Diceros bicornis minor: one gene and its partners. The protein of the gene in region 2 interacts with the protein of the main gene of each other region in a pairwise test. Links are inferred from orthologs where the notes say so. Each region holds a gene or a part of one and is shown on either strand. Other genes may lie near its edges.

Region 1 (7,154 bases), on a different chromosome or scaffold from region 2:
AGTCTTGACAGGCTGGAAATTAGTGTCGAATCTAACAAGATGAAATTTAACAAGGGTAAAAGTAAGTCGGACACAAGTCCAGAAAACCAATACAAATACAAGACCGGGGAAGCTTGACTTGAGGGCAATTCAAGTGGAAAACACTTAGGGTTTTTAACTGACAGAAATTATAGCTTAGGTCAAAAGCTGGGACGTTAGAAGGCAGCAGGTTTAGCTTCATCAATATTATTTTCCTTTCAGCTCAATATAAACTTTTTGATAAATTTGGAAAATGAAACAGGCTACTTCAGGAGGTATGTCCTTACTGGAGGTCTTCTAGCCAAAGTTAGATATTACTCTGGATACTGAAGAGAGAGCAGTAGAATCCAGCAGAGGGTTTAGCAGAAGAAACGACCCCAGATAGTACCAAGATTCTACAATCTACTCACATATGAGTAGATGTAATTACAATTTAAAAAGTGAAAATAATCTCATTTCGATTGATTTAAAGTTAAGTGCCTGAAAGATCTGCTGAATGGGGAGTTCAAATTTAAGCTCTCTCTTTTTTTCTTTTATTTCCCTCTTTCCTCTATTAGTCCAAAGACTTAAAAAGAATGACAATAGTGCTTTCTCATTTCCCATAACTTAAAAAGTTTAAAATTTATTATTACGGAAGTAATATATACTCCTTATAAATAAAATTAAACCTTTTTGATGAATATAAAATGAAAAGTAAGGCCAGCCCTGGTGGTCTAGTGGTTAAGGTCGGCATGCTCCACTTCAGCAGCCTGGGCTCGGTTCCCGGGCATGGGCCTTACACCACTCTGTTAGCAGCCATGCTGTGCTGGTGGCCCACATACTAAAAAATAGAGGCAGACTGGCACAGATGTTAGCTCAGGGCGAATCTTCCTCAGCAAAAAGAAAGAAAGAAAGAAAGAAAAGTAAAGTCTCCTCTTCTGTTTCCCCCCCCCCCCCAGATATTCCCAAACTCTCCTGGACTCCCCTAGCCTCTAAAGGCCCTCCCTCTCTGACTCCCTAGGGACTTATATAGTCTGTATACCATGACACTTTTTATTATACACCATATGTTTTCTTCCCAACAAGATCAGAAGCTCCTAACGCTAAGATTTGTCTTTTACTTCTGTGTAGCTCCTGTACCAAATACAGGCAGATTGCAGAAACGGAACACCTGTTCAACTTTCTAAGACTTACAAAACAAGAAATGGTGCGATATTCTTTAGGTGCTAAAAGTCTCACTTTCACTTCATATTTACAGTGCACATTGGTTGGTTCTGCCAATCCAGCATTCATGACCTCCTCTGACCTACCCACCCAGCTCATCATTGGTTTATAGAGATCCATTCAATTGTGCTGGGAAGAGAACTAGATCTAAGTCAATCAGAGCTTCACAATCTCACAGACATGGTTTAGGGTTGGGCATGTAACCCAATCTAGATCAATGAGATGCCATCAACCTGAAGCTGAGGGGATATACAGGATCCTAGATACTGCAGCCATCCTGGGACCAAAGGAGTAAATCTATCTAAGTATGGAACCAACACCCAAAAGGGCAAATCTGAAAGTTAGACCGTGGTGACGTCATTTAGCATGCCCATTAAGTATTATCATCACTCCATTCTTGATCTCAGAACTGTCTGACTTCAAAGCCTTCTTCCTCCACCAAGCATACTACTCTGACCCCAAGTCTTTATCCTTATGCTCAACAAATTCTCCTCATCAGGCATGAGAGGTAGAGTGGAATGGAGCGAGAAGAGAAGGAACACGGATCTTAAGATAAAAAATATAAATATAAAAAGAAATATAACATACATATATATGCTAGCAGACTGTGAGCAATATATTATAGGCGTGTAAATGGTGATGATATGAAATGCTGAGAGAATGAAAAAGTGACAGACATTGTTTGGGTGTACAGGTTGGCAGAAGAAAAAAGGCTTTATAAGAAAGGGGCATCTGAGATGACTACCACATTATCTGACCACAGCAAACTTCTGTGCCACTCTCTCACTCATTAGCCACAATAGCCATCTTTCAGTTCTTAAAAACTAGGCTCTTTCCTGCCTCAAAGCAATTATGCCACTGTCTGGATGCTCTTTCCCCAAATCCTCTCATGACTGGCTTTCTCACACTTTTGATCTCTGTTCAAATGCCACCTCTTCAGAGATGCCTTTCCAGTCCAACCAACTTAACTTGGGCCTTTCATTTTTTCCATCACCTCTTATTTCCTTCAAAGCTCTTATCACCAACTGGATTTACTTAAAATGTTTAGTTTACCGATTCTTTCCACCACTAGAACGTAAGCTCCCTGAAAGCAGGAATTATGTCTTGAACACCTCTTTTTCTTTAGATCCCAATTCTGGCAGGAAGCAGCAGGCAATGAATAAATTAATATTTATTGAAGAAAACGAATGGTAGAAAGTGAGACTACAGCTTGTGAGAAAAATCGGCGTTGTAGTCGGGCTGTTCCCGAGGAACAGGCGAGAGGAAGTGGGTAGGAAAAGCCAGCGGGGCTGGAGGTTGCTTAGGGAGCTGAAGGTTTACGTCGGCGAGAGTCGGGGGTGTCGGATCAGGGCTTCAGTCTTCTCTTGGCTACGAATGGGGTGGCCAGGTGGGTGGCAGAGGGGCATAAACCACTTACGGACCAACTCCTGGGCGTCCCCTTCGTGAGAACCAAACGCGAGGCTTTCTTCAGACACCCCCTAGATCCTGCACCGCGGACCTTACGCAGCCGTAGTTCACGAAATCGCTACCCCATGGGCACCAAACTTATCGCCCGGGCCCGAGCCCGAGCCCCTTAGGAGCAGGCAACTTGCGAGAAAAAACGGCCACCCTCTGCCGCTCCCTACTGAGGATCCCACGCCGGCCCGGCATCCCGGCGCCCGTTCACCCGCCGGCTGACGCGCTTCTCCCCGCCCCCAGCCCGCCCCGCAGCCCGACTCCGGCCCTCACTTACGCTCGTCTCCGGGCTATGAGCCGATGCATGGGAGTCGCCATGTTAGCGCGGCTGAGGCCTGCCGCGCTGCATGCTGGGAAACCCCTCGGTGGGGGCGGGGGCTTCGAACCCGCCGGCCACAGGCGTGGGCGGAGCCTGGCCGGCGTCTCGGGCCTTCGGGACAACCTTTGGGGCTAGTAATGGGTGGGAGGCTGGGGTGTTGTGTCTGCTGTGTGGGTCTCTAGGTTGAGGAAGAGAAGTGAGGCCATTTGTCCAGCCTGTACAGGGTTTTGAAGGATGGGTACGCGTAAATTGAGTGGAGAGGCAGAGAAAAACATTCTCAAGTGAGGGAAGTATATATATTTTATGAATATATAGTCATATATATATGAATAAAACTGTGCAGTGTTCAGAAAACTAGAAGTAGTCTGGAGAGCAAAATAAAAAGGAATCAGTTGGGGCCAGCCAGGTGGCATAGTGGTTAAGTTCGCACACTCTGCTTCAGCCGCCTCCGGTTGGCAGGCCCAGATCCAGGGCACGGACCTATGCCCTGCTTATCAAGCCATGCTGTGGCAGACGTCCCACATATAAAGTAGAGGAAGATGGGCATGGATGTTAGCCCAGGGCCAGTCTTCCTCACCAAAAAAAAAAAAAAAAAAGGAATGAGTAGAACAGGATTGGGACCATCAACTGAAAGACTGACTTTAGCAAACCATAAAGTGCAAATATATGTTAATTATTTCTATTTTTATGTATTTCATAGGGATTTTACAAGAACCAAATGAGACTAAGTAAAGCTGCTTTGTCAACTGGGAAAAGATTAGACAAATATATATATATTTTTTTTAATTTTATTTATTTATTTATTTATTTATTTTCCCCCAAAGCCCCAGCAGATAGTTGTATGTCATAGCTGCACATCCTTCTAGCTGCTGTACGTGGGACACGGCCTCAGTATGGCTGGAGAAGCGGTGCGTTGGTGTGTGCCCAGGATCCGAACCCGGGCCGCCAGCACCAGAGCGCGCGCATTTAACCACTAAGCCACGGGGCCGGCCCTAGACAAATATTAATTATTTTAGGATATTTTAGCATTTAGTATCAGATCATGGAGATTTTATTCCCTTAAATCCACGTTCTTTGAACTATATATAACTTTTTGAAATATATATGTGTGCATATTTATGAGTCCCCATTCATTTTTTTCAATTACTGTTTATCGAACACCTAAACTGTTTTGGGAACTGGGGATAGAGCACTGAACAAATAAAGTCCTTGTACACATGGAGCTTTCTAGAGACAATAAACAAAGGCAATGTCCAATGAACATAAATACTCTGAAGAAAAATGATTCAGGGTAAGGAGGTAAAGAGAGATTTACCATTGGGAGCTAGAGAAGGTGATGTCATGTGACCTTTGAGCACATCTTGTTCTTAAAAAAATGGAATCTTACCAACTATTCTGTTCTTCAGTTTGCTTCCTTCATTCCTCAATGTGCTTATGGACATCTTTTCCCATATCAGCACATACAGATCTAATTCATTCTTTTTATGTATTACTTTATGTAGATTATATGGATATTCCACAATTTATCCAATCAGTGCCCTATTGTTGAACCATTAGACCATTTACCACAAAGATGGAATGAATGGATTTTTAAGCGTTCACCTATGTTTCTGTAAGATGACTTCCTTCCTAGAAGTAGAATTGCTGGGTCAAAGGATATGTGTGCTTTTAATTTTGATATATATTACCTATTGTCTTTTAAATAGGTTGTGCAACCAAATCCTACTTTCTCACCAGAATTGAGAATGGTCAAACTTTTAAACTTTTGCCTATCTAATAAGCCAATATGATATATTATTGGTGAGGTTAAATACATTTCATATGATTGTTGAAGACTGTACTTCTTTCATGAATTATCTGTTCAAATTCTTTGCCTATTTTTCTATTGGATTTTTATCTTTTTAATATTGATTTGTAGAAACTTTTAATATTTTACATATAAATGCTGTTTTATATTTTACAAATATTTTTCCTATTTTGTCTGTTGTGTTTTAACTTTGTGATCATTTACCCTGTACAGAGGCATTAAATTTTTGTATAGGCATTTTTAACAATCTTTTCCTTTATAGGTCCCTAGATTTGGCTCATGCTTAGTATGGCCTTTTATGTCTAAGATTATTCTTTTTTCTGAGGAAGACTGGCTCTGAGCTAACATGTGTTGCCAATCTTCGTCATTTTTTCCTTTTTTTTTTTCTCCCCAAAGCCCCAGTAGATAGCTGTATGTCATAGTTGTACATCCTTCTAGTTCTTCTATGTAGGATGCTGCCTCAGCATGGCTTGATGAGCAGTAAGTCCATGCCCAGGATCCGAACCGGGGAACCCCAGGCCGCCAAAGTGGAGCACTCAAACTTAACCGCTATGCCACGGGGCCGGCCCCTATGTTTAAGATTATTAAATTTAGGGCCGGCCCCGTGGCTTAGCGGTTAAGTGCCCACGCTCTGCTGTTGGCGGCCCAGGTTCGGATCCCGGGCGCGCGCCGACGCACCACTTCTCTGGCCACGCTGAGGCCGCGTCCCACATACAGCTACTAGATGGATATGCAGCTGTGACATACAACTATCTACTGGGGCTTTGGGGGGAAAAAATAAATAAATAAAATCTTTAAAAAAAAGATTATTAAATTTTTTTCTTGTATTTTATTGTAATTTTTTAATTACAATTATGGTTATATTCTTAATCCTAATTTTTAGTTTTTGAAATACCATTTACTAAATAATCTATCACTTCTTTACTGATTTGAAATGCCAGTCTCTCATGTACCAAATATGTACAAATTTAGTTTGTTTGGACATTCTATTTTCTTCCAAAGATGTATTTGTGCCAGTATTTGTTTCATAGTTTTAATTTCCATGGTTTTATAGGATATTTTGATATCTGATAAGGCAAGTCCCTCCTCATTAATCTTTCTTTCTCCTCAATTTTCCTTATTGCTCCTAGGCATTTATTTTCCTAGGTGAGCTTTATTCTCAAATTTTCAAGTTTCCCACAAAATAATACTCAGATTTTTTGCCAGCTAATTTTAAAAGAAACTGCATTATAGCAAATGTGAAAAGGCAAGAGACAGAATGAGATATAACAAATCGAAAGGAGGAAGCAATGACATTATTTGTGATGATTTGGTCGCACACCTGGAAAGCCTAAAGAATTAGTTAAGGGGCCGGCCCCGTGGCGTAGTGGTTAAATGGGGGTGCTCTGCTGCTGGTGACCCGGGTTCAGATCCTGGGTGCACAGGGACACACTGCTTGTCAGGCCATGCCGTGGCAGTGTCCCACATAAAGTGGAGGAAGATGGGCATGGATGTTAGCCCAGGGCCAGTCTTCCTCAGCAGAAAGAGGAGGATTGGCATGGATGTTAGCTCAGGGCTGATCTTCCTCACAAAAAAAAAAAAAAAAGAATTAGTTAAAAGCTTCTAGAGGGCCGGCCACGTGGTTTAGCGGTTAAAGTGCGAGCGTTCTGCTGCTGGCTGGCCCTGTCCGGATCCCGGGCGTGCACCGACGCACCGCTTCTCCAGCCATGCTGAGGCCGCGACCCACATAGAGCAACTAGAAGGATGCGCAGCTATGGCATACAACTATCTACTGGGGCTATGGGGGCAAAAATAAATAAATAAAATTAAAAAAAAAAAAGCTTCTAGAGAGTTCAACACAGGGGCCAGACACACACACACACAATACGATAACAACTTGCTTTTTCAGTGGCAAGACCAAGTCAATATAGCTGTTTCCCATTGAGGCCCATGAGCTTGAGGGACCCTCAGCTTTGTCCAGAGGACCCTGGCTAAAATTCAGATGCTAAATTTTGTAAACTTTAATGAGTAGAAGCTGAAAAAATTAAAAACTCTTGTGAAAGCTGCAAGTAATTTCTCTCTGGCGAGGATGAACACTTTTTTTTTTTTTTTATAATTGTATTTATTTATTTATTTTCCCCCCCAAAGCCCCAGTAGATTATTGTATGTCATAGCTGCACATCCTTCTAGTTGCTGTATGTGGGACACTGCCTCAGCGTGGCACTGAAGCGGTGCATCAGTGGGCGCCCGGGACCCGAACCCAGGCCGCCAGCAGTGGAGCACGCGCACTTAACCGCTAAGCCACGGGGCCGGCCCTTCGCGAGGATGAACACTTTACCAGTCTTTAAGCAGACTATTCCTTTATTCTAGGAA
Region 2 (6,958 bases):
CCATTTAAAGTGTGCAATTCAATTGTCTTTAGTGTGGTCACAGAGTTGTGCAACCATCATCACAATTTTAGAACATTTTTATCACCCCCCCCGAAAAAAAACCAGTACGCATTTGCAGTCATGCCCAGTCCCTCTTCCTCCACAGCTCTAGTCAACCACTAATCTACTTTCTGTCTCTATTGATTTGCCTATTCTAGACATTTCATAGAAATGAAATCAGATGTTATGTGATCTTTTGCGACTGGCTTCTTTCACTCAGCATATTTTCAGGGCATTTCCTTTATTTTAACCATAAAGTTTGTGCCATGTATTAAAACATAAGGAAAAAAGTAAGGAGAATATTCAAGGACCACTTATGAAAAGAACTTTACTGAATACAATGGCGGATCAAGAATCAAAAACAGAAATCCAGTTCAGATGAATCTTCATCAAATATAAATTAACAGATATGAAGCGAAACTATTATACCATGTAGCAGAAAATAAGCAAACTAGGGTAAAATAAATACATTAAGGAAAATATTTTACAAAACAAATTGCTTGTCAAAGAGGACATCTTGCCTAAAAAAGGTGTAGGACAAGCGATCACAAGGTCTAATTACAGGAAGAGCAAAGAATCACTGTCTTTGTGTCTAAAAACTGCTCCAGCCAGTGTTTCTCAAAACAGGGTCCCTGGACTACCTGCAGCAAAATCATCTAAGAACTTGTTTTACAAAAATCAGATTTCTGGTCTGTGCCCCAGTCACGGAAAATGGGGCCCTGGAAACTATTTTGAATAAGAACTCCAGATGATTCTCATGAATGCTCAAGTTTGACAACTAATATCTAATTAACACAAATCAATGCAAATGATTAAATGTATGTAAGAGTCAAGAGAAGTTACAAAAGCAAAATGGATGAAAAAGAGGAAGGTGAAAAAAATACTTAAAATTTTGGCACAGTGTGCTCTGGGGAAAACATAAAGTGATATTTGAAAACTCACGCGGATTTGATGATGGAAAAAAATTCTAAATGTGTACATATGCAAGCCATTCTACTAATACCTGTGAAGGCCACTCAGGGTATGACACAGGAAAATACAAATGTAAGGTTGCGTGGTAGAGAGAGCACGTAGTAGATGAGCAAATGTTTGCTGACAATGTTAACTATTTTTATAACAAGTACAGTTATATTTAATTATCTCCAACCCAAAATCCAATAACCTAGACAAAACCAAACTTTTTGCTGTAGTAATCTTTACATGAACAGCATAAACTGTCAAATATTATGTCAGATAACTGACATGCAAGCTCAGGGCTGGGACATTTACTTTCAGACCAAGTTAATCTCTATTTTTATGGTCAGACTTACGTAAACAATGACAGGCAAAACCAGAGTTAAATTCCTCAAGACTAACAGCATTGCATGATAGAACTCAAATTTCCCTAAAAATCATGAAAATATGTATACAAGGAGAGCCTTTATTATCCTAACTGTAAGCAAAGATTTCTGAAGATGAACTATTAAGTTCTAACTCGTAATTTTACTTCAGTGAGGAAAGTCGACTTTGGTTTAGCAGGGATAAAGAAAGGAAGTTTCAATTACATAACTCTCAAAGGACCTCACTATCAGATGCAGAATTTGTCCTCCATAAAAAGCGTCTTTCCCCTATAAACCCATAAACTCAATTAAAGTGTTAAGTTGTAACATCTCTTTTGACTTACTTATTTAGATTAAGCCTTAAAATGCATTTGGAACCCCAATTATATTCCATCTAACCCTAAGATGCTGGTAATTCAACATTTCCAGACGTGATTCTTGCACATCCTATAAATGAAACAAACTGCTGGGGGAATGAAATAGCTAATGCATGCAAATAAATTACACGGGAAGTTATGCTGCTTTCAAAGGAGACTTTTATTTATTATCAGCATTTAGCTTGATATACGAAGGTCTAAGCATCTAAAAGTTCTCTATGACACTTTTTCATTTCACAGCTTATGTTTCAAAAATCAGAAACCCTAGAACTAAGTAAAGTCTTAAAGTAGGCTAAAATACGGATGGGTGAACTTCTTCACCAAGGTCTCACATTTCCTCACAAAAAGCAAACAATTTTCACTAAGCCTACCTCCCAACTCCCCAACTCCCTAGATTTCTCTCACATGCTCAGTTTGGCCTCCTCTTCACACAAGTCCAGCCCAACCCATCCACACACACCATCAGTCTCCAAGTCTCCCACACCGGCACAACAACCTCTCATCTGGTTGCTAATCCAAGGCCCTTCTTTCTTCGACTTATCTTGCACAGACTTGACATGCCTACAATCTCTTGTTCCATTTCTTCCACAACAATCACTACTCAAAGCAACCTAAGAAACAAGTCCCTTTTCCCTACCCGCAGACAGCTTCTTTAACTCTATACACCTCTTTTTTTTTTTTTTTTTTTTTTCCTTATTCTCTATCCTGCCTTTGTTATTCAGAAGGTGCAGGGTCTGGGAAAATCTCACTCACCTCATGCTATAGGCACCAGCACCCAGTTCCTGGCCGATCCCGGAGAGACTAGCATCAAAGTCCTGCACCAGCCCGGATTCAATCACTTCATCGGCCAGAGGCAGCTTCAGAGCCCAGGCCATCCTGGCTCCTTCGCTGCCCCAGGAGACACCGTTTTCTTGTACAAAGGCGAGTAGTGTGATTCTACCCACCAGGGGCAAGACTGTAGAAAACTCCAAACCAAGATCTCCCACACAGTACCTACCAGCCACCCCCAAGCCCAACCCGCACTGCCCGCACAATCTAACTAACCGCCCGTACCCTTGCCTCCTTGCTCTTGGCTGCCCCGACTGAAAACCCCTCCCACCCAGCTCTCTGGAGCCGCACGAGGGCCCCTTTGCTTAACTACTCCAGACTGCCCAGAGGCAGCCCTGGACTCCCATACTCCCACTCCTTGGGTTCGTGGTGGTCACACTGCTTTCCAAACAGACCAGCAGCGGCACGCGCCGCCTACCCGGCGCTCCCACTCCGCTCTCCCACCTCTCCCCCCGCCCCCTTCCACTGGGAGCCCCCTCCCTCCGGGGACCCGCTCTCCCTGTCCCCTCCAGGCCTGGCTTCCGGTCAGTCCCAAGATCACTTCCGGTCACCCCCGCTCAACCCCACGGCTCTTAGAACCAAATCCAGGTTTCCGCCGAGCCGACTCCCCTCCCTCTGCAGCCCCCCACGGCCTCGACACATGGAAGGGAAAAGTCCGACACCGGCGTGAAACCCAGACTCGCCGAGCTCCTCCACCGCCCGCGGCCCCAGCGCCAACCAATCATGGCGCCCTCTTCCTTTGCCGGTCCGGCGAACGTGACGTCACTCTGCCGCCCGCCAATGGGGAAGAGACGTCGTCGGCCTCGGCAGTGATGATAGGCTAGCTACGACACGGCTTCCCGCCCCCCGGAGATGGGCTGGGCAATCCGGGAGAGGGCCCGGCGTGCGTCAGGTGTCCCGGTTTAAACGTCCCTCCTTGTGGCTACCTGAGTTTTGGCATCCGCTACTTACCGAGTCGGAACCCTAAGGCGTGGGTGGAGCTTTCGCTCTAGGTGTACCGAACCCACACCCAGTCCTGGCGGACGCGTGCTCGTTTCCTCCTGAGATACTCTCTGTCCTTAGACTCACTTCTCCGGAGGTCAAGACTGCTTAAATCCGATTTCCCTTGATCATTTTACTTTCTGCCTTCTTCCTAGTGCATTTGAACAGGAAAGCATGAGATGGGTGAAAGTGTTGTGGTTTTTAAAAGGTAGTGGTCTGGGGGCCTGCCCCTGGCTTAGCGGTTAAGTGCGCGTGCTCCGCTGCTGGCGGCGGGTGTTTGGATCCCTGGGGGCGTACCAATGCACCACTTCTCCGGCCATGCTGAGGCAGCATCCCACATACAGCAACTAGAACGATGTGCAGCTATGACATACAACTATCTACTGGGGCTTTGGGGGGAAAAAATAAATAAAGTGGAGGAGGATGGGCACGGATGTTAGCCCAGGGCCAGTTTTCCTCAGCAAAAAGAGGAGGATTGGCAGATGTTAGCACAGGGCTGATCTCCTCACACACACACAAAAAAAGGTAGTGGTCTAAAGATTGGAATTTGGGCTGGCATCTTCACTTACTAGTTTGGTGACTTCAGAATAATAGCTTCATCTCATTGAGATTTAGCTTCCTCATTTGAAATGTAGGAATAACCATACCTGCACCACCTTCCTCCTTTGGGGATTAAATAATAATGTCCATTGCTTATTGGGCATTAACTATATGGCAGGAACTTTATTACATTATCAGTAATCCTCAAGACAATCTTGTGACTAGAATTATCTTTCTAAAGGTAAGTGTTATGGACCTGATTTTACCAATAAGGAGAGGAGGCTAAGGGCTTAAATTGGCCAAAGCTAAATTGGTGTGCCAACTTCAGAGTTGATTCCAAAGCCTGACATTTTTCACTACAAGGCATTGCCTATATGTGAAAGTATTGGTTCATTGTATTCCACTACTGAATTTTTTACAATCTACCTTGAATTATAATTTCGTATATATCTGCCTTTTTCTCTAGACTGTGATCTCCTAAAGAATAGGGAATAAGTCTTCTTCAGGCTTGTGTTCTTAATATCTCCTAGTATAGTTCCTGCATTCAATAGGACTTTAAAAAATACTTATTGAATTTAAAAAGGAAAGAAAGAGAGGAGAGAGGTTGACATGAAGTTGACAGCATACCCCCAGTTTCAGCTACAGTCTTCTCTCTTTGAGGGCTCTAGTCTTACCCATCTTCTTACCTTAATAAGCTCTGGCATCCAAGTCTTGGCAAAATCCTTTGTATTCAAGCAGTGTATCTAGAGTATTTTAAAACATCTATTAGGTGGAACCATGCCTTGTTTGAACAACAGCTCTGTCACTAGATGCATAATCTTGGGCAAATAACTTTACATCTCTGAGCCTCAGTACTTTAATCCATAAATTAGTGAAAATAATACCTCCTCCTAAAATTGTGAGGATTAAATGAAGTGCCAAGATGCCACAAAAATAATAATTATTCAATAAATGTTAGCTCCTGTCTCCTACTACCCCATTTCCACTTCTCTGTTAAGATTGGGTTGGTATTATCATCCTATTTAAAAACATTAATTTACATTGTATGGTGTGTTATAATTTTGGTATCACTTTAATGTATATTTAATTAAAACATAATTAAATATGTCTTATTTAATCCTCATGAAAGCGTTTGTTTTGTTTTTTTACTATGCAGAAACTGAAACTAAGAGAGGGAGAGTGTTCAAGCAGACTGCAACCTCTTTAGAAACCATCCTGAGAATTATTCTGTGATTCAGCGACTCCACTCTATATATGAACCCTAGAGAACTCTTGCACATATGTACCAGGAGACTTGTATGAGAATGTTCATGCCAACACTATTTATAGCAACAAAACAGAACAAAACAAATGTCCACCAACAAGAGAACGGATAAATTGGCGTGGGATAGAAGATTATACAGCAGTAAAAATGAATAAAACTTTAAAAAATGAATAAAGCTATACTCAACCAAGTGAATAAATCAATCTTAGAAACGTGGGGGAAAATGGGGAAGTCCTCATGCAGTGTAACATCGTTTTATAAAGCTCAAACCCCAGCAAAATTAAGCAATATATCATTTAGGGAAATATACACACATTCCTTTAAAAAAGGAAGGAAGGGGCCGGCCAGGTGGTGTAGTGGTTAGGTTCAGATCCTGGGCGCAGACCAACGCACCGCTTAACAAGCCATGCTGTGGCAGCGTCCCATATAAAGTAGAGGAAGATGGGCACAGATATTGGCCCAGGGCCAATCTTCCTCAGCAAAAAGATGAGGATTGGGAACAGAAGTTAGCTCAGGGCTGATCTTCCTCACAAAAAAAAAGGGGGGGGGGCGTGAAAAGATAAACAAGACTCTGTGGTGGCCACATATAAGAAAATGTGGTGGGGGTGGTGGGGTGCTGGTAGAGGAGGAACTCAAAAGTAGCTTCAACAGTGGTAGTTAAGTTGAGTGGTGGTGTTACGAATTTCACCTCACTCACACTCAGAGGAGCTCCAAGGAGGGGCCCACATGTGGGCCCTGTACCCACAATCTGTCCCTTCCTTGAAGGGTTCTTTCCTATTTGGTGTCGCAGATGTGAAATGACATAGAAGCTGAGAGGTCAGCGGCACAAGCTTTGTTCAATGGTCAAAGAATGGAAAAGCGGGACCTAAGTTCACAAATCCACTTGTCAGCTCCTGGGGTGATTAAGCAGCTGTTATAAGGGGTCTAGGTAATGAAGGGGAGGAATATTCATAGTTATTTGGGGAAATGGGCAGGCTTTTCTGGGGAGCGAGGGTGCCTCCTCTTTTCTTATTTGGTTATATCCTGCGGTTGCCATGGCAGTTGTAAACTGTCATGGCGTCGGTGTGTGTGTTCTGTAATGTGGTAATGTACTATAATGAGCATATGAGGAGCTGTGGGGTCTATGTCAGGTCAAGTCGGACTGCCATGTTGCCTTCAACCGGTTTTAACTGGATTTGACCTATGTCTCAGCCATCTCCTCCTTCCTCTCTTTGTGGTTTCCTGTAAGTTAAAGAGAACGTGTTAGGCTTGTTCTGAGCAGGGTTGTGGTTAACGCCTTATGAGGTCAGTGGGCCAGGTAACAGTAGATCTGTGAGTTATTATTTGTTTCATCATTTTGCTTCATAAATTACCCAAAAAGTGTGGTCTTGAATATGTAACAAATATTACGTAAATTAGCAGCTGAGCCAGGAACTACAGTCCAGGTCCCTGATTCTTATAGCTGAGATCTGCCTACAGTGATGCCTCCCTGCTGGTGGTACAGTCCTAGGAACTGTCCAGACACAGAGCAAATAATAGCTGATAATAATGACAGGCCCGTATCTACTGAGCCCTTCCTAAGTGCCAAACCCTGACTAGGTTCTTTACGTATATTATCTCATTTCATCCTC
Region 3 (7,190 bases), on a different chromosome or scaffold from region 2:
GTACATAGGTATAGGGAAATATCTAGAAGAACATTCATCAAAGGGTTGACAGTGGTTCTATAAGGGTGGAAGGTTTGTACTTTTGTACTTTTCTTTATTGTTGGAATATTTAACAATGAATTGTATCACTTTCACAATGAGAATAAAGCCATCAAGGAAATGGGCACACAGAAAAAAGACTCTTAGGCAGCGGGGGAGGAGGGGTGAAGAGAAAGGACAGAGGTCAGCCCATCTCCCTCCACTGTGCTGGTATCCAAGACTTTTCTCCTCCACCCCAAAAGACAGCACCTTTGTGGATTAATTCATGCAATTAGAAGCACCCCCCCCCCCAGTTTTCCCATTGCTGGACTCTGAATATGGGTTAGGGTTCATTTAAGGCTGGAGGCTAGCTCCTCACTGTGGCTCAGAAGGATCATCGGGTTCGCCAGGGGCCTCTCTTGACCCCTCCTCCTCTGTATGTGTCAGCTCCTGCAGGGTGATGATCAGATTCTCAAACACCTGGGCCTTGTTGCTCTCATTGTCACAGGTTTCCTTTGAGTGGCCCTCCTCGCCACAATATGAACAGCGGATTGTGAATTTTCGCTTTCTGGCTCTACGCATATCCCCAGGACCATCATTCTTGGACCCAGACCCACCACTGGTAGAAGGAGATTGAGCCCGGGAACTGTTGGGGGAATCAATGACTAGCACTGGATCCTGAGGTCTGGCCCTGCATCTGGGGGGAGGAGAACTCAAGAGTGAAAGTGGAGGGTCCTGAGACTCCACTAGGATCACATCCTCATCTGAGTCATCGAGGGTATCATCTATCTCTATCACATTGCAGTTAGCACTGCCGCTCTCTATTGGTGGGGAGCCCTCAAATGCCACTGGGCTGGTTGCTCTCTCCACCATTGACTCAGATCTCTTGGCCCGCTTCTGTTTCATAAAAGTGTCATCCCAATCCTCTTCCTCCCTTATCATCTTGATTAACTCCAGGAAATTAGGAAGACGCTTCTGCTCATTTGCATACATCCTGAGAAGATGCTTCAGCCTGAAGCGCAGGTCCCCATTCAGCTCAGCCCCTAAAAGGAGCTGCTGCAGGCGAGTCTGGTTTGCATCTTTCTCAGCTATGACCCCTGCCTGAATAGCATTCTGGAGCTGCACCTCTAAACGGATCACATAAAGGGAGGCTTTCTCCCCTTGTGCCTGCAGAGTGTTAAAAAATTTACCTTGAGCAGTCACACTGCTTTCAGACTCCCCAAACACCAATTTCATGGCGCGCAAGAAATCTGCCACACTTAGGTTGGGGTTGGCCGCCTGGAGCAAACGCATGACCTCCCGGGCAGGGCCCCTAAGGGTTTTCATCAAGCGCTTGAGCTTTTCCTCCTCAGACATATTCCAATCTGGCAGGACCCCGTTGACCTGGATCAGCCAGTTTTCAAAGGTTTCTTCCCCCTGCGCTGGCACCACCCTCCCAGAGAACAACTTCATGTTCTTCTCTGCCATGTTGGCCATTAAAGGACCAAGACTCCTTCCCAGGGACCTCAGCATATAATGAGCCCAAGGCGGCAAGGGTGCCTTCTGCTGCCGGCTATTACCCACGCGTGCAATGATGCTGGCCATGTCTGACGATGACTGGGTATGTGAATATAACAAGATGTTCAGGCTTTTTGGAAAAGCCTAATCTGCAGGTGTGCCGGGGGTCAGTGCTTTCATCCAATCTCAGTAGAGACTGTAAAAAAGAAAAAAAACGGGAGGAGGGGTTAATAAGGGAACTGGCCGCAGCCGTATTCTCTCCCTTCCTGAATATCCTCCAGTACGTTTTATATCTGCCCACTGCCCTAAAAATATCCTCCTGGAGACGGGCAATTGCATTTTCACAGAGCCAGCCGGTGTCTCCGGGTGCTTTTACAGCCACAAGCATCCCCTCCCGCCAGTCCTTCAAGAGGCAACTGTTGCTTCTAACTCTAAGTGTAATAGTGTATGGAGCTGACATTGGGCTCTCAAAATAGAGCACAATGGGCACAGCTTTGTGGGAATAAATAAGATCTCATTAACCTCACGGTCTCAGGTCTCTACCACACCCCCTTCTCCAAGTCCGTCCACCCCCCCCCCCCCCGTTATTTCGCAGATTCTTACAGGAGCTCAGGAACAAGCGCGCGCCTTTATTTCACTTCCAGCCTCTGCAACCTGTGGCCTCCATGAGAAAGCTCGCCTCCAAGGTACAGTCGACCTTTGTCCACCGGGGGTCGCCGATCCCGGACCTCCGAGCGTCAAGACTGCGACGCCGCGGAGGGGAGGGCAGGGCGGGGGAGGGAAGGGTCAGAAGCAGCCTCATCCCGCTCCCTCCCTCTCCCGCGCCCCCCGTTGCCTCTGCTGTAGCCAGGCGGAAAATCCCCTCTCCCACCTTTTGAATACAAGCCAAAACGACCCCCGCCCCGTTACATTTCCCCCGGGAAACCGTCGGCCTACCAGCTCGGCAATCAGCCGCACAGAATTCAAGTTGGGATTCGGCGTTGATGGCCTGCCACGGAGAAAGGGAATAGGAGTTGGACACGCACACCTATATTTTCTTCCCCAAGAAGAGATGAGGACCTGCAAAGGGGGTTCAAGGCAGACAGCTTACAATTTCTCCCCCCTCGCCTCTTCCCAACCCGGTAAAATTCCCCCCTCTCAATCCAGGCAAATCCTACCCATTGGGCAGCATCCACTGGAACCCCACCTCCTCCCTCAGCGCAGCCCGGCCAAGGGAGTGCGCCTTCCTCTGCCTCGCAGTTCTCGATTCCCCAAGCGGGGAGCCGCCCAGTCCTGGTGGGGCTTCCCCCTCCTCTCTCCGCGCCGGGCAATCGCGCCCTCTTTCTTTACCTGTGCTGGGCCGGTGGGTAGCTGACACTTCCGCGTTGACAGCCGTAGATTCCTCCTCCGGTCTCCGCGGCCCTGCAGGGGAAAAGGACCGGCGCCTCTTTGGCCGCTAAGCGACCTGGGACTGCCGGGCGGAGCTGCTCCGCAAGGCCGCCCAGAGAGGGGTAGCCGAGTCGAGGCAGCACGGTTCCCACGGCAGCCGCCGCTGCTTTTATCCTCTGCCCACTGAGACAAAAGAGCGTGACGAACAGGCCAGCGCGGCCAATCAGCGGGGCGCGGAGGCGGGGTCCCCGGGCAGCCTCGGGCCAGTTGCAAATATACACCAGAGGGGGTGGTGGGTGGGCAGCAGGTTCTTGGGGTGTCAAGTGCAGCTTGGTTGCACCGACTGGAGGAGTTTGCGACTCTTCCCTTCTCCCTCTCTCCCTTGGTTCAACTCCGCGCCTTGAGGCCAGGTGCATTAAACACGAGGTGCGATCGAAATCAAAGTTCTTCACCTTTGTATAGGGGAAGGGGATCAGAAAAAGAGCATTAGAGCTTTCTTGTGCAAAAAAAGTCTTTGTGCAAACAGGCTTGCACAGACATCTCCTCTTTTACTGTGAAGGAGGCGGCAGTATGTCTATTTGACATTGAGGTGAGTTAGACACCCAGGCTGGTAACCAATATTCCCTAAAGTAGTAAGGCTGCAAGGCTGGCTGCGTCAGAATCATTTTGGGGAGCTTGTTAGAAATGCAGATTCCTGGAGGATTCTGATTTACTAGGACTAGAGTTGGGAGTGTGATTTTGTATTTTGTATTTTTAAACAGCTCTGTAGTTGATTTTGAGGTGTGGAGAGGATGTGGAATAAGTAAATGGACCTCCCTCCAATGTATCTGTTCACAGCATATCTGTGGTGAAATGCAATTCCAGAGGAGATGTTCCTACCTGGGACCATGATCTTCCTGAAATTGTATGCAAAGATTTTGGACTCTTTAGGAGGCTGAATAATGGTCACCCAAATATATCAAGTCCTAATCCCTGGAACCTGTAAATGTTAACTTATAAAGTAAAAGAGTCTTTGCATATGTGGTTAAATTAAGGATCTTGACATGGGGAGATTATCCTGGATTATCTGAATGGGCCCTAAATCCAATCACAAGTGTCCTTATAAGAAAAAGGAGAGAGAGAGCTGATGCACACAGAAGAGAAGGTGATGTGAAGACAGAGGCAAAGGCATGCTGGCAGCCACCAGAAACTGGAAGGGGCAAGGAACAGAGTACATCCCTGCCCATACCGTGAATTCAGCCCAGATAAATTGGTGTTGAACTTTTGGCCTCTAGAACTATGAAAGAATAAATTTCTCTTGTTTTAAGCCACCAAGTTTGTGATAATTTGTTACGGCAGCCATAGGCGACTAATATAGACTCTGTATTTTTCTGAGTCCATAGCTTTGTAGATTTTTAAATGGGTCTGTGGTTAAAAAATCTTTTTTCGTTAATACCTTCCTCCTTCAATTTGTAGTTGTGAAAGAAGTGTGAGGAATGAAACAATTTGACTAGATCCCTGAACCACAGCTCTCTGCTGCTGATATAGCTCTTTCATTTCTCGACTCGAGGAAAGGTTGATAGGTTCCCCTTCTGTGAGCTTTTGAGGGGACCTCTCCTTTGCTGCATTTGGCATCACTGGCCCCAGAGAAGGAGCAACTCCATGGAAATGGCATGCAGGGCTGTCTGGAGTGAATGAGCCATGAAAGCAGTGGCTCCATGTATTAGTTTGCTAGGGTTGTCATAACAAAGTATCACAGACTGAGTGGCTTAAACAACAGAAATTTATTTTCTCACGGTTTTGGAGGCTGGAAGTCCAAGATCAAGGCGCTCACAGGCCTGGTTTCTCCTGAGGCCTCTCTCCTTGGCTTGCAGATAGCCGCCCACTTGCTGCCTCTTCACAGGATCGTCTCTCTGTGCGCTGGAGTCCCTGATGTCCAAATTTCCTCTTCTTATAAGGACCCCTGTCAAATTGGATTAGGACCCACCCTCATGGCCTCATTTTAACTTAATCACCTCTTTAAAGGCCCTATCTCCAAGTATAGCCACATTCTGGAGGTACTGGGAGTTAGGGCTTCCACATATGAACTTTGGAGGGACACAACTCAGCCCATAACACTCTATTTTCCCTTACTGGGAACACTTACTGGGTTATGGGAAAGCATGTCTTCTTTCCCTCATATAGAATGTGGCTAGGAGGTCCCTGTGGAGATTTTGGGGGGTCAGGGTGGTGGTGGCATGCACTGCACAAGTGGACTTCCCAAGTGCAAAGTTGTTGCTGTTGCTTGTTCTTCACTGCTGATGCTTGGAAGCAAGTGAACAGTCTAATGCCCTTCAGCCACTGTTGGGTTCATCTTTAGCCTGCCAAGGTAATTCACCTGCTCCTTTCTGCTTTCTTATTTCCAGTCTCAATACTTAGAACTCCTTAGAGTAGACCGTCCAAATTTGGAAACGAAGTACTTTCCATCTCAGGACTGTGGCCTTTCTCTTGTGGATGGAACAGTGGGGTGGTGGTGGTGGTGAAGGGTGGTGGAGGTAGAGAGAAGGCAGGTTGGTCATCTTGCAGAGTCAGGGATGATGCTGGCATTAGCTTATTTGTTACCTTTAGACTCTTCCTTTGACTCCCCAGTGCTGTGACATATGACCCTGACCTCTAATTTAAATGGCTTCATCACCAATCCAGGTGATCTGCAGTTGGACATGGTGGCATCAAAAAAGACAAAGACTAGACCTCAGAGCTCTGACAAAAATGTTGAAAGGCAATGGATTGTGTATCAGGTGCCTGGGTTGGGTCATTAGCACAAAGCGAAGGTCTCTCCATGAGGGGCTGCGAGGAGATTTGCTAAGCTGGCTCCAGTTGGATATTGAGCATCCCTTATCTCTGGCCTCACGTTGCAGGATGTCAGGGGACACTTCCAATTGCAAAGATTCAGACTCTGGTGGCTCTAAGGAGGCCACATTTTATTTTCCAATTGCAAAAATATAAAATTTAAAAATGTGAAAGTTAGGAGCTAAAGCTTTCAATTGAAACCATAATGGCTACCTTTGGCTGCCTTCCTCCTCTGTTTCAGGAATTTTCCATCTGTTATCTCATTTAAACACCTCTGGCAACTCTATTAAGATAGACGTTGTTCTCCCATCCAAGGAGCTGAAGGCGTGCAGGCACTTCACACTAGGGCTCTGACTCATCGGAAGTCAAAGCTTGGATGGGGATGCTTGTGGGAGATCCTGCCCATGCTAAGCTGGGACCCCAAGGACGGCATCTTTCACGAAAATATTCAGCAAGAGGGTGAAATAAAGATATTTTTAGACAAACAAAACCGAAGAGAGTTTGTCACCAGCAGACTGCACGAATGGAAATTCTAAAGGATGTACTTCAGGAGGAAAATGATCTTTGAAGAATGAAATGCAGGAAGGAATGAAGAGCAAGGAAAGTGATAGTATGTGGGCAATGTAAGTGAATATTGACGGAAGAAGGAATCACAAAAACATCTATTCTGTTTTTTAAAAATAAACTTAAAGTACCATACAATAACAAAAGACATCAGGAGGAGCATAAATGGAGTTCAACTTTTCTAAGGCCCTTGTATTATATCGGAAGTGATTTAGATATTTATTAAATTTACACTTTGATATGATAATTATGCATGTAGGAATTAATAGGATGTAACTATTAAAATAATAGCAATAGGATGAAAATTTCCAAACTAGTAGAGAGGGAAAATAATTGAATAACAGAAAAATATTCTCAGTTTTTTTTCAAAAGTCAAGAAAGAAGAAGTGAAAGAAACATAGATGGAACCAATACAAGCACAAAATAAATGGTAGTTTGAAACCCAAATATATCAGTAATTTTATTAAATGTTTATGAGCTAAATGCTCAAGTTAAAAAAAACAAATATCGGGGCCGGCCCCGTGGCTTAGCGGTTAAGTGCGCACGCTCTGCTACTGGCGGCCTGGGTTTGGATCCCGGGCGCGCACCGACGCACCGCTTCTCCGGCCATGCTGAGGCCGTGTCCCACATACAGCAACTAGAAGGATGTGCAACTATGACATACAACTATCTACTGGGGCTTTGGGGAATAAAAGGAGGAGGATTGGCAATAGATGTTAGCTCAGAGCTGGTCTTCTTCAGCAAAAAGAGGAGGATTAGCATGGATGTTAGCTCAGGGCTGATCTTCCTAAAAAAAAAAAGAAAAACAAATATTGTCAAATGGGATTAATAAATACTCGCATATGCTATTTGAGACAAATCCAAAATATAAAGATAGAGAGGTTGACAATAAAAAGATGGAGAGAGATAAATCACACAAATAGTATATAAGTGAT

The links.
Region 1: the proteins of TFCP2 (region 2) and ZCCHC10 interact in binary tests that used the Homo sapiens proteins (3 or more experiments, as listed by UniProt). The two-hybrid records come from large-scale screens. The link is inferred for Diceros bicornis minor from reciprocal best matches to the Homo sapiens genes TFCP2 and ZCCHC10.
Region 3: the proteins of TFCP2 (region 2) and ZCCHC12 interact in binary tests that used the Homo sapiens proteins (3 or more experiments, as listed by UniProt). The two-hybrid records come from large-scale screens. The link is inferred for Diceros bicornis minor from reciprocal best matches to the Homo sapiens genes TFCP2 and ZCCHC12.

What each region holds. Positions count from the first base shown.
Region 1 is NC_080740.1:52,289,405-52,296,558, forward strand, and holds the start of ZCCHC10 (zinc finger CCHC domain-containing protein 10), read right to left. Parts: upstream 3,014-7,154; 5' UTR 2,995-3,013; coding exon 2,954-2,994; intron 1-2,953.
Region 2 is NC_080756.1:18,723,376-18,730,333, reverse strand, and holds the start of TFCP2 (alpha-globin transcription factor CP2), read right to left. Parts: upstream 3,018-6,958; 5' UTR 2,611-3,017; coding exon 2,489-2,610; intron 1-2,488.
Region 3 is NC_080781.1:109,511,257-109,518,446, reverse strand, and holds the start of ZCCHC12 (zinc finger CCHC domain-containing protein 12), read right to left. Parts: upstream 3,014-7,190; 5' UTR 2,845-3,013; intron 2,504-2,844; 5' UTR 2,452-2,503; intron 2,435-2,451; exon of another isoform or gene 2,387-2,434; intron 2,259-2,386; 5' UTR 2,119-2,258; intron 1,712-2,118; 5' UTR 1,603-1,711; coding exon 394-1,602; 3' UTR 1-393. UniProt on the Homo sapiens protein: Transcriptional coactivator in the bone morphogenetic protein (BMP)-signaling pathway. It positively modulates BMP signaling by interacting with SMAD1 and associating with CBP in the transcription complex.